Cricetulus griseus: one gene and its partners. The protein of the gene in region 3 interacts with the protein of the main gene of each other region in a pairwise test. Links are inferred from orthologs where the notes say so. Each region holds a gene or a part of one and is shown on either strand. Other genes may lie near its edges.

What was found.
Region 1: the proteins of Fxr2 (region 3) and Pts interact in binary tests that used the Homo sapiens proteins (3 or more experiments, as listed by UniProt). The two-hybrid records come from large-scale screens. The link is inferred for Cricetulus griseus from reciprocal best matches to the Homo sapiens genes FXR2 and PTS.
Region 2: the proteins of Fxr2 (region 3) and Paics interact in binary tests that used the Homo sapiens proteins (3 or more experiments, as listed by UniProt). The link is inferred for Cricetulus griseus from reciprocal best matches to the Homo sapiens genes FXR2 and PAICS.

The regions. Positions count from the first base shown.
Region 1 is NC_048597.1:162,277,473-162,280,116, forward strand, and holds the end of Pts (6-pyruvoyl tetrahydrobiopterin synthase), read right to left. Parts: intron 1,925-2,644; coding exon 1,854-1,924; intron 1,668-1,853; coding exon 1,544-1,667; 3' UTR 652-1,543; downstream 1-651. UniProt on the Homo sapiens protein: Involved in the biosynthesis of tetrahydrobiopterin, an essential cofactor of aromatic amino acid hydroxylases. Catalyzes the transformation of 7,8-dihydroneopterin triphosphate into 6-pyruvoyl tetrahydropterin.
Region 2 is NW_023276807.1:143,382,218-143,386,194, reverse strand, and holds the end of Paics (multifunctional protein ADE2), read right to left. Parts: intron 3,656-3,977; coding exon 3,391-3,655; intron 3,154-3,390; exon of another isoform or gene 1,861-3,153; coding exon 1,702-1,860; exon of another isoform or gene 1,678-1,701; intron 1,424-1,677; coding exon 1,257-1,423; 3' UTR 652-1,256; downstream 1-651. UniProt on the Homo sapiens protein: Bifunctional phosphoribosylaminoimidazole carboxylase and phosphoribosylaminoimidazole succinocarboxamide synthetase catalyzing two reactions of the de novo purine biosynthetic pathway.
Region 3 is NC_048600.1:83,475,120-83,479,558, reverse strand, and holds the start of Fxr2 (fragile X mental retardation syndrome-related protein 2), read right to left. Parts: upstream 2,885-4,439; 5' UTR 2,529-2,884; coding exon 2,448-2,528; intron 1-2,447. UniProt on the Homo sapiens protein: mRNA-binding protein that acts as a regulator of mRNAs translation and/or stability, and which is required for adult hippocampal neurogenesis. Specifically binds to AU-rich elements (AREs) in the 3'-UTR of target mRNAs.

The sequences.
Region 1 (2,644 bases), on a different chromosome or scaffold from region 3:
TTCTAGTTATGCGAAAGGCACAAGTTTCTTCAGTGAAAAGTGGACACCTTACATGATGTGAGGCAAAGATTGGTACATATATTGACAGTGTATACCAAGACTGATGGAGATGCTGCCTTCACATGCATTATCCACTATAGTATCCACTACAGGCTCAACCTGCTTATTGAAATGTGAGCTGCTACTGTGGAACACATCAAATATACCATTGATATCAGTAAACTACTTGTTAATATATGTGTGGAATTCCAGATGTCATGGACACCTGCATAATTTTAACTTAGAAGACTGCATAGTAACCACATAAGTCAACACAAAAGACCTATGCTACTCAGTAAGGTACACTTCTCCTGACTGATCCTGCTTTGCTCTGATCACTAAATTAACCCATATAAGTTGAACTATATACCTAGTGTTCTTCACTATCATTATGACTGAATTCTCAAGAATGAACTTGCTTGCTCTGCACAAATAGCTGTTATATTGTGTTCAGTTTGTATTATAAACTTCTTAAATATAAGGCTTTGTATTTCTCTTCACATCACAACTAGAATATACTAGATTCTCAGAATATTGCCATCTAATGAACACTGAGTATGCTTATACACTGATTATGATTCCAGGAACACCTGCAAAAAAACAGACCCATGGGGAATAAATAAAGGACTTTTATTATAAATTTTGACAATGCAATGCCCACTTAGTTAAATTTTAGTATGCTCTAGTTGTTAAAGTTTTATTCATGTGCAGTATTTTGTATTGATTACTTGAAAGGCAGGATTGCTGCTATTACTTTGAAAGGTACTTTGTCTTTCAGGTCTTACAAATACCATGTAGACATTTTTCTCATTTTACTTACAGAAGTTTAAATTGAAAAAAATTGAGTTATTTGTTTAAAATTGCTATACAAATAAATTGCAAATGGGCCATGAGACCAAAATAAGCTATATATATCATGAAAAATAAACTGTACATATCATTACACATGCAAGTAAAAATAACTAAATCTTTAAAAAGAAATATAGTCTCCAGACTTTATGCCCCTCTAAAATTTTTTCCTAAGGTTCACATACTATAAATTGCATAAACATTTTTATTATTTATATTATACTAAGAAAAAAAACAAATGCTAAAATGAAATAGATAACAGAGAATACATACTATGAAATGTGTTTATTTTTCCTTTACATGATTCCACACAAAAATATTTTGTTGAGAATGAAATAATTTTTAATCTCTGGACAAAAACGATACTCTCAGTGGCACAGAGAGGACTGGAATGCAGTGTGGTATGCTTAGCATGTGTGAGGCCCTGGCTTCAATCCTCAGCTCTCCCCTGCTCCCTCACCAAAAATAAATTCAGGATATGCTGTAAGTTTGATTTTTAAATACATTTAGATGTGGATCTTACAGTTATTTTAACACTCAGACATTCTAGAGTACAACGTGGAAACACAAGTATGTGGTGACTGCTGGATATTCTAAAGGGACAAAGAGCTTTTTTAAAAGCAATTAAGCCTTTCTCTAATATTAACCCTAATCTCTATTCTCCCTTATATACTACAATGTTGTTGTCAGTTTCATAAACTTTTACTTTGTAAAGAACTCCTGTAGGAAGAAGTTTCTGGAGGCTTTCCCAGATATAGACAGCTACATTTTCTGTTGTGCTGAAGAAAAAAAAGGAAAGAAGTTCAAAATACAAATAATGAACAAAATTTCATTTTCATATATAGAGAAAACAGGAATTCCAGTAACATCTACCACTGCATCAATATTTTAGAAATAACATGATAATCACATAGAATGTTAACTTGTTTCATTTCTCCTGCTCAAGGAGAGACAGTGACACACACCTTACAACACCTGCAAAGTAGGGCACATCCAGATCCAGGTTCTTGTGATCAAGTGGCTTCATGATGGCCTCCTACAGACAGGAGAGAGGACACCACTGAGTGTTTATAACTCAGCAACAAAGGGTTCCTTCCCTCAAGTCTCAGAGTCTCACTCTCTCATTTAGTCAAGACTCAACATTGGGAAGCAGTCCGACAATGCTGTGAAACAAAGTTAGGCCCAGCTCCCTGTAATGACTGTGTATTCTTGCTCCTGATGCAGAGGGAAGAAACCACAAAAACAGAGTTCCTGGGACTTCCTAGAAACAGAGCCCTTGTGATTCACACACAGTTCAGGTTAGCACTTCTAAAAAGTTACTAGAAACTCTTTTATACAGTACCCTGTGCCATTAAGGCCTGATCTAAAATGATGGACATTCTCTAAATTTCTGTCCCAAAGAATAATTTAACAATAAGCTTCTGTCTTAGAAGAAAAAAAAAAAAACATTTCCCTATCACTCCCTGATGTTTACATATATTGACATAATGTTTCTTCTTGTCATTAGTAAAGATTGTAATTGCCTTATTCTTTCCAAATTTTTATCATTAGCTCTTCTACAAAAGTTTAAGCATATGTGAAACAAACTAATTTCCTACCTGGTCTGAAGGTACCTAATAACTCGTTTTCTTAAACAGAACTGGAGTCATACAAAAAGAGTGATTCCTAAATCAACTTCTAAACCACTTGATTTTTAAAAATAAATCAAATGAAGAGATGTGAATACCAAGAAAATAAATATCTTTACTCTATCTTG
Region 2 (3,977 bases), on a different chromosome or scaffold from region 3:
AATAGAAGACCCAACTAGTTCAGTGCATGTGATGAATATGGCAAAGAATGGGGAAACACTGTGATGGAATCTATAACTAAGCTTCATGAAACATAGCATTTGACTTTTCAGTAATGTCAGGTGTTACAGAAGTGAATGTGGCTAGGCCCTCTGTCCAGCTATTCACTAGCAAAACCAACAACTAGCCACTACATCCACTCACTCCTTTGACTGCAGTTGTGTCCAAAATGTTTTACTAGAAAATCAAAGTTTATGGCCCACAGAGGCACCTACCATAAAACCTAGTTAAATGGCTAAGCCATAATTTACGTAGTCTTTTATTGGAATGGGAAGGAGACTACTTTTTTTCAAGAATTGTCCTAATACACAAACACCTCAGGAAGGAGCCCTTTCCATCACTTCCACTTTATGTGTTTCTTCTACCCCTATTCTCAATTTCTTTAAAAACAAAACAAAACCCCCCAAGCAAACATGGGTAAAGATGTAACTCAGAGGTAGTGCTTGCCTACCAAGTGTAAGGACCTAGGGTTTCCTCACCACCATAAAAACAAACCCAACAAAGCACAAACACATACCTTAGCTGGAGATTCATGTAGCTATGTACTTTCTTAGATAAGGACTTAGAACATACAGACCATGCAGTGAGAATAGTTATTAGCATAAACAGAAATATTTTAATTTTCAAATCATGATCCACAGAAGACCAACCAGTAGCTACTGATTTACAAAAAAATCATTATTAGCATTTAGAAATAATTAGAAGTTACAGGTGATTATGAGTCACTCCACATGGATGATGGGAACCAAATTCTCTGGTCCTCTGCAAGAGAGCCACATTGGTTCTTAAACCAGAAAGACAGCTCCAGCTCCATAAAAGACATTTCTTTGCTAATGTTACATTAACTGCCCAACAAGGATCATGTAGTGATTGATAATATAATTGAACAGTGTCATACTAATTTTTACTAACTATAAAGATTTTTTTATTTCAATACAGGGTCTCAACACATAGTTTTTCTGCCTCAGCCTCTGGTGTGCTGAGGTTACAGGAACACATCATTATTCAGAACTAGAAAATATTAATAACAAATACTCACTGACAACTTGTCAACCCCTAAAATATAGAGGACCATTTTGTTCAACAGTAAACTGAATTGTTTTCTCTGATGTGAAATCATTTTGCTTAAATTCTTTCTTTTTAATTCAAACTAGGAATGTGTAACTTTTCTCCTAAAAATTACTTTTTTTTTTTTTTTTTATAAATTGCATTCTCTGATTTTCTTGTCAGCTTGCTTTAAAGATATCCATGTGTTAAGAATGCTTGCTCGAAGTTTGGCCCATACCAAATGGTTGTATAACCCAAATATCTGAGCAGCAAACTGGGCGGATCCTTCTGGAGAAAGTATAGTTGAACAGCCAAGACCTATTGGTTCAGAATAGAAAGGACAAATAAATGAGTTAGTAGCTTAAAAAGAAATAAAAAAACAAAAGATGATAATAAAGCCAAGTCTTTACTTCTTAAGAGATGCATATTAAGCAAAAAATACACAATAATTCAAAAATATAACGTCTGATTTAAAATTAGTAGGCTGTGGCTAAAATGTGTAATTAAATATTAGAAGATGAGGCTGGTAGAGACATTAAGATTGCATCTTGAAATTTTGTGTATACTCCCAGTACTGAAAATTTTCAAGATCTTACCACTGGGCAGTCGAAGGGATGACCACACATCCTGAGCACCCCAGTCTGGTGTGATGGGGGGACAGCTGATAACCGGATATGCAGTATTACCAGACATCACTGGGCCCAAACCATTGCTTCTGCCAGCCACTGCGACAAATACAGTAGGTATGCCATCGCCTAGGGAAATTACAAGATAACCAGGTCCTTTTGTTTTGTTGACAATAACAGCAGGAACAAAAAAAGGGGGGGGGCATGTTAGATGGCTCAGTGGGTAAGGGGAACTGTTGCCAAGTCTGGTGACCTGTTTGACCTCTAGAACCCATATAGTGGCAAAGAATTGACTCTTGCAAGCTGTTCTCTAACCTCCACATATACTATAAAAATAAATGTAAAATACAAAATGAACTCAAATCCTTTAGTAGTCTGCTATAGAAAAAGCATACCTAGCTGTACAGTTAATAATAACCTAAGTAGCATAGGAATGGCCATTTTTGAGATCTACAGTATAAAGAGAATGTCCTGAAGTTGGTAAGGAAATGGCTGGTTCACAGCTTCCTTCTGATATTGCTGCTTAGACTCAGCAGCATGAAGAACCTCACCAGCTGAACAGCTATCTTTTATGATGAGTTGTCCTTCCAGAGGGTGCCAGTAGACTCATTTAATAGTGATTAAAATTCTCGTGGCTACTTCCAGTATTCAGTATTTGGGTGCTGGAGTACATGTAGTAAAAGCACCCAAAGTTAAAGGGCTTAGGATGCTTGAGTTGAAAGGCCCATCATTAGCAGTATCAAAAACCAACAGCAAAAGTACATCTCTATATCTCAAAAGTTTAGGAAGTTTGTATATTTAATACAGTGTTACTCTAGCCCAGGCTCAGCTTGAATTACAGCAAACCCGACCTTCCCACCTGTTAGGACTACAGGTCCTGGTTTTATGTGGTGCTGGATACTGAATCCTGAATTTCTTATTACAACTTAGTCTGCCTTTCTGGAGAAAGAATCCAAGCCTTCATTAGCTTATTAAAGGACCGGAAGCCCTCCTCCCATTGTTAACTACACTTCTGTTAAGTTTTCTTGTACCAACGATATCCTATCATTTACTTAATGTATTAACTCCTGAAACTATAGCTTTATTTCTTATTTTCTTTCAAGAAAACTGACAAAGATACCAGAGAGGCCCTGCTGCTTTAGCCTTAGGCATCCCACAGTTGGGGTAAGGGATTCTTTTCTTTTGGAATAAGCCAGCAACAGTGCTCAAGGGGCACTGTTAATAAGACAAGGAGACCACACATCCTTCTATTTTATGTGTATGGCTGTTTTGCCTCCATGTCTATGCATGGGTGTGGTGTGCAGTGCTCCTGGAGGCCAGAAGAAGTTGATGGATTCCCCTGGACTGGAGCTAGATGGCTGTGAGTGCTCCTCTTAATCAATGAGCCTTTTTTTTTTTTTTTTTTTAAAGATTCAAAAAAATTACAAGTATGTGTGCCTGCATGAGTTTATGGGCATCACATGCATGAGGTACACAAAGAGGGATAGGATGTCAGACATTATCCCTGGGGATAAGTGTAAAAGTATAGGCATTCCACATGACTTTCCTCCGAAATATGGAAAGCCTCTTTAAAACATTATTATCCAAAACATATGTACTTTAAAATATTTTACCCAAATCAGAAATAGCTGAAGTTGTCCATTTATTTATTAAGTTTACCTTCATACTCTGCTTTAATCCTCAAAGTTTCATCCGGTCCTTTATGGGCAGATGTTACTCGAAGTTCACATGGAATCCCGAAGTTTCCACAAGCCTTTTTAATTTTCTCACAGTGACCAAGGTCAGAAGTGGAACCCATCAGCACTACAACCCTGCACTGACTATCTGACTTCAGGAGTAACTCCACTCGATCTGCAACCCACTCAAAGTTCTTCTTTACCATCTGCAGTCCTTCCGGAGTTACTTCCTTGAGGTCACGGTAAGACTAGAAAGATAGAAATTTACAAAATAATTTTCTCTTGCTAGCTTAAAAACCCTTCCTTCCTTTCTTTAAGTAGAGCTTATGACAAGTTTACATAATGAGATATATCTGAAAATGCCCGTTGATGGAGAAATGTTTTTTCAATGAAAAAGTTCAGCAGCAAAGTTTCGCTTTTCATTCCAGGTCAAATGCTTTCTTCCTTAGCAATTACAAGTAGTTGAGTTAAAAGCCTTAATTAAGACTTGGTATGTAGAATCCCATTTCCGTCCCTTAGTCTTGGTATTGTGAAGATTAGACAAACAAGGACAGTTGTCCCTTTGCTGTT
Region 3 (4,439 bases):
CCCCTTCACTCAAATCTGTCACTGCTATGGCCCACAGGTAAAAATGAAAAAAATCCAGAGACTATCTGTTTGATACTGGATACTCACATATGTAACAGAAAACACACCCTTCCCAACCATTTCATACAGTTAATTTGAACTCAGCACTAATCCTTCTCAGCTGTGCAAGGCTCCCATGCTTTCTAGAACAAAAGTATCTTATCTTGATCTCATACTCAATTTAACAATCATTTTCCAAATTGGGCGTGGTTGTGGATGCTTTTAATCCCCTAGTCAACAGAAGCTGAACCATCCCAGTGAGTGTAGGCCAGCCCAGTCTACATCTACACAATGAGTTCCAGGAAAGCCAGGGCTACACAGAGAAACCCGGTCGCAAAAAAAAAAAAAAAAAAAAAGTGTGTGTGTGTGTCCTACAGAACCTGATAGGAATTTGAGACTTTTGCCACAGAAAACAAATGTTATCAAGATATTCTTCCAGTCAGAAGAAAAAGTACCAAGAGTTAGCAAGGAAAGTGATAGTGTCAGAGATCAGCTGGGAGCTTTCTTCAGCTATACAAAGAATAGATGGACATCAGTGAAGATTACACAGGAATACAGAAACATCAAGTTAAGGGCTGGAGAGATGGCTCCACAGTAAGAGCACTGGCTGCTCTTCCAGAAGACCCTGATTCAATTCCCAGCACCCACATGACAGCTCACAACTGTCTGTAACTGCAGTTCCAGGGGATCTGACACCCTCACACAGACATACATGCAAGCAATACACCATTGTACATAAAATTAAATATATATATCAAGATGAACAGCCCAAGATTTAATTGAGAGGATACGCTGAGACTAATAGATATGTACACCCATATGCACTGAATAAAGGGTAAAGAACTTAATCAGAAAAGGCAGGCAAAACTGGCATGGCATTTATAGTGAGTAAAATCCAACTTATCAGTCAAGTGGGGGCAGAAACCATCTACAAGGGCAAGCACAAGTCCTTCTTCAGCTACAAAAGATACAATTTCATAGTAGTCAGAGAAAGTAGTTTCCAAGGGCATGAGAAAGCAGAAAGGTCTCCTGGGGAAGGGGAATGGACCTGAGAACTCAAGTGAGGCAGCTCCTCTAACTTACCTGATGCTATGAAAATCCCTCTTCAGAGTAAAGAGTAAGGGGTGGATCAAAAGTTTCTAGGACAATTCCACACATAAAAGTCAACAGTTGGGCGGTGCTGGGGGCAGAGGCTATGAGCTTGAGGCCAGCCTGGTCTACAGAGCACAGGACAGCCAAGGTTACACAGAGAAACCCTGTCTTGGGGTACAAAAAACAAAAACAAAAAACCTCAAAAGAGGTTCAGAATTCCACCTACCAGATAAAGGAAAACAGTTGTGGAGCAAGAAGAGTCACTCTTAATCTAAACTGGAGGGGAGGGGGAGCCCAGATGCAGAGAGTCGGATGGATGTATGAATAGAAAGAAGGAAAAAACAAAAGGCCGGTCTGGTCTGATAGATCGAGGCTGTAATATAGTCACAGAATTTGAAAGGCTGAGGTAGGAGTTTAGCCTGGGCTAGGACATGTTACAACCCCACCCCCCAAAACACTTCAAAGGAATCAAATCTTGGGCAAAGAAATGCTGAAATTAGCAATTCTGAAAGATACTTTCTCTTTCCAGAAAAGACTGTCAACAAGTAGAAATCTGTTAGAATAAGGACAGAAAAGAAGCTTGCTGAGACACCCTTTTAAGGAAGCCTAAACTTAAGAAAACACAGGAATGACCTAAATGTAGCTGTAGTCTAAGAGAGAAACACGAATCCATCTCTGGGTAGCTGGTTTCGGGATAAAGGTGTGGTGGGGTGACAGACTTGTCCAACAAGACCACTTTTATGGCTGATAAAGCCTGAGGCCAAAGATGCTAAATAACACACGTGGGTTTTGATCATTTCTTCTTAGATGGAGACCTACAATATAAGATGAAAGTTGAGTAAATGGTTTAGAGCCAGTAGGCAGAAACCTCCCTGAAGACCGAAGACCTAATATGGGACAGTGGGCCTTCCCAAGAGGGTTATGTAGGAAAAGAAAGACTCTCCCATGTGCTTGTGCCGTGGAAAGGATGTGATTAGGAGCTGAAGTAGCTCCTCCACTAAGAAACAAGAAAAGTCAATTAGAAGCTGAGTAAAGGGGTTTCTCCGGAGGGACCAGGAGCGCCCATCCACGCGCAGTAATGACCTGATGTTCATGCTTTCAGCTGAGGATGAAAGCAGGTGTAACAGCGGGCTCAAAAAGAAAAAAGCACGAGGGTTAACTCCCACGGTCTCCCCGAGAGGGTGTCGAGTGGGAGCGTGGGTCGAGGTTCTAAGGGTCAGGACCGAGCTCCAGAAACTCGAGCCCGCTCCACTCTTCCCTGCTCCGGCTGGGGGAGGGGGCTAAGGAGGGTGTCCCGGGTCGACGCACCGTCTCACCTTGTAGAAGGCCCCGTTGGAGCCCCGCACCTCGACGGGCAGTCCCGGCTCCACATCCCCCCCAGAGGCCAGGCCGCCCATGGCGCCGCCACCACCTCCGACTGCCGCGGCAGCAGCGGAGGCAGAGCTCTGAGTGCGGGCCGGGCCGGGCCCCCGGCGTCTCCCAGGAGGAGGAGCTGGAGGGGGAGCCGCGGGGGGCGGGAGTCGGGCCGGCCCCACGGCGGCCCTGCTACAGCCGACGAGCAGGGGGCCGGGGCCGGGCCGCTCCCCGTCCGCCACTGCCTTGGTCTCCGCCACCGTGAGAGAAACGGCCGCCGCCGTCGCCTTCGTCACCTCAGCTTCCGCCCGCCGGCGCCCCCCGCTGCTGCCTCAGTCCGGGACCCGCTGCTGCCGCTGCCGCTCCACGGCCTCCACCTCCCCTGCCGCCGCCGCCGCCGCCTACTGCGCAGGCGCACAGGGCACCCGCCCGCCGCGCGCGGAGCCCGAGGGCCAAGGCGCAGGCGTCCAGGCTAGCGACCCAGCTCCGGCTCGCCAGCGCGTCAGGGCTTCCACATTCTCTTCTACTCTCTCACGCCCCCTCCTGGTCGCTCCTCTGCGCTTGCGCAGAACCAGATGAACGCTCTATCTCCAGCTCCCCAGCCTTCCACTATCCCTGTCCCTTCCTTTCCCCGCCCCACAACACTGTGAGCAAACCAATCACGAGAAGGGAGGGGCCGCGCCCGCTCCGTCGGATTGGACTTCCGCCTCCACCAAGTGAGCCCCACAGAGCCGGAGCAATTTAGGGATGGGCATGCGCCGGAATGACTGCTTGGTCACTTTCACCACCTTTGTCTTTCTTGGTGCGCACACTCCAAAGTGCGGGCAGGGGTGGGGGGGAGCCCGAAGGCAAAAAGTGTCCGGTGCGCACGCGCCCCGGGTTTTGGTGTCCATGCGCATGTGTTGACTCTCTGCATCTGTAGGAGATTCAAGAGTCACGGTTCTTGGCTGGAGTGGATTTTCTTAAGTTTGGTGAGACTGGGTCTCCTGTATCCTAGGCTGACCACGAACTCACTAAGCAGTTGGGGAGTGACCTTGAATTCCTGATACCTCCCAAGTGCAAAAATTACAGAAATGCCTGTCATTGCCCTGCTTGCCTTAAGTTGATTCTAGTAAATTCAAGCCCATATCGAAAAGAAAATGCAACATGATTTGATACATAAATGCTAAGGAAATTCAAGACAGGAAAAATTCTCAAACAAAACAAAACAAAATCGGTCCTTGAAGATGCTCAACTATAAAGCCTAACGACTGGGGTCAATTCCTGGAGCTACCCCCACCTCCAGCAAGTTGTCTTCTGACCATCACATGTGTGACATCACTCATGTTCACCCTCAGGACTTCTCTGTGTAGCCTTGGCTGTCCTGGAACTCGCTCTGTAGTGGGCCACCACTTTCCGGCTTAAAAAAAAATTGTAATTAATCCAAAAACCCCTACTAGCCCGGCAATGGTGCACGCCTTTAATCCCAGCACTTGGGAGGCAGAGACAGGAGGATCTCTGTGAGTTTAAGACCAGCCTGGTCTACAAGAGCTAGTTTCAGGACAGGCTCCAAAGCCACACAGAGAAAACCTGTCTAGAAAATAAATAAATACCCTACTAAAAGAAGCTAGAGAGATGGCTCAGTGGTCAAGAACACTTGCTGCTCTTCCAGAGGACCTGAGTTTGGTTCTTGGTACCCACATAGCAGCTCACAAACACTTGTAATTCTTTTTTTAAATTTTATTAATTTTTATTTTATATGCATTTGTATTTTGCCATGGGTGTGAGGTCCTCTGGAACTGGAATTACAGACAGTTGTGAGCTGCCACGTGGGTGCTGGGAATTGAACCCCGGTTCTCTGTAATTCTAGTTCTAGGAGACTGGACACTCATTATGACCTCTGTAGGCACCAGGCACACATGTGGCTCACATACATACATGGAGACAAAATACTCATACATAAAAGTTTTTTTTTT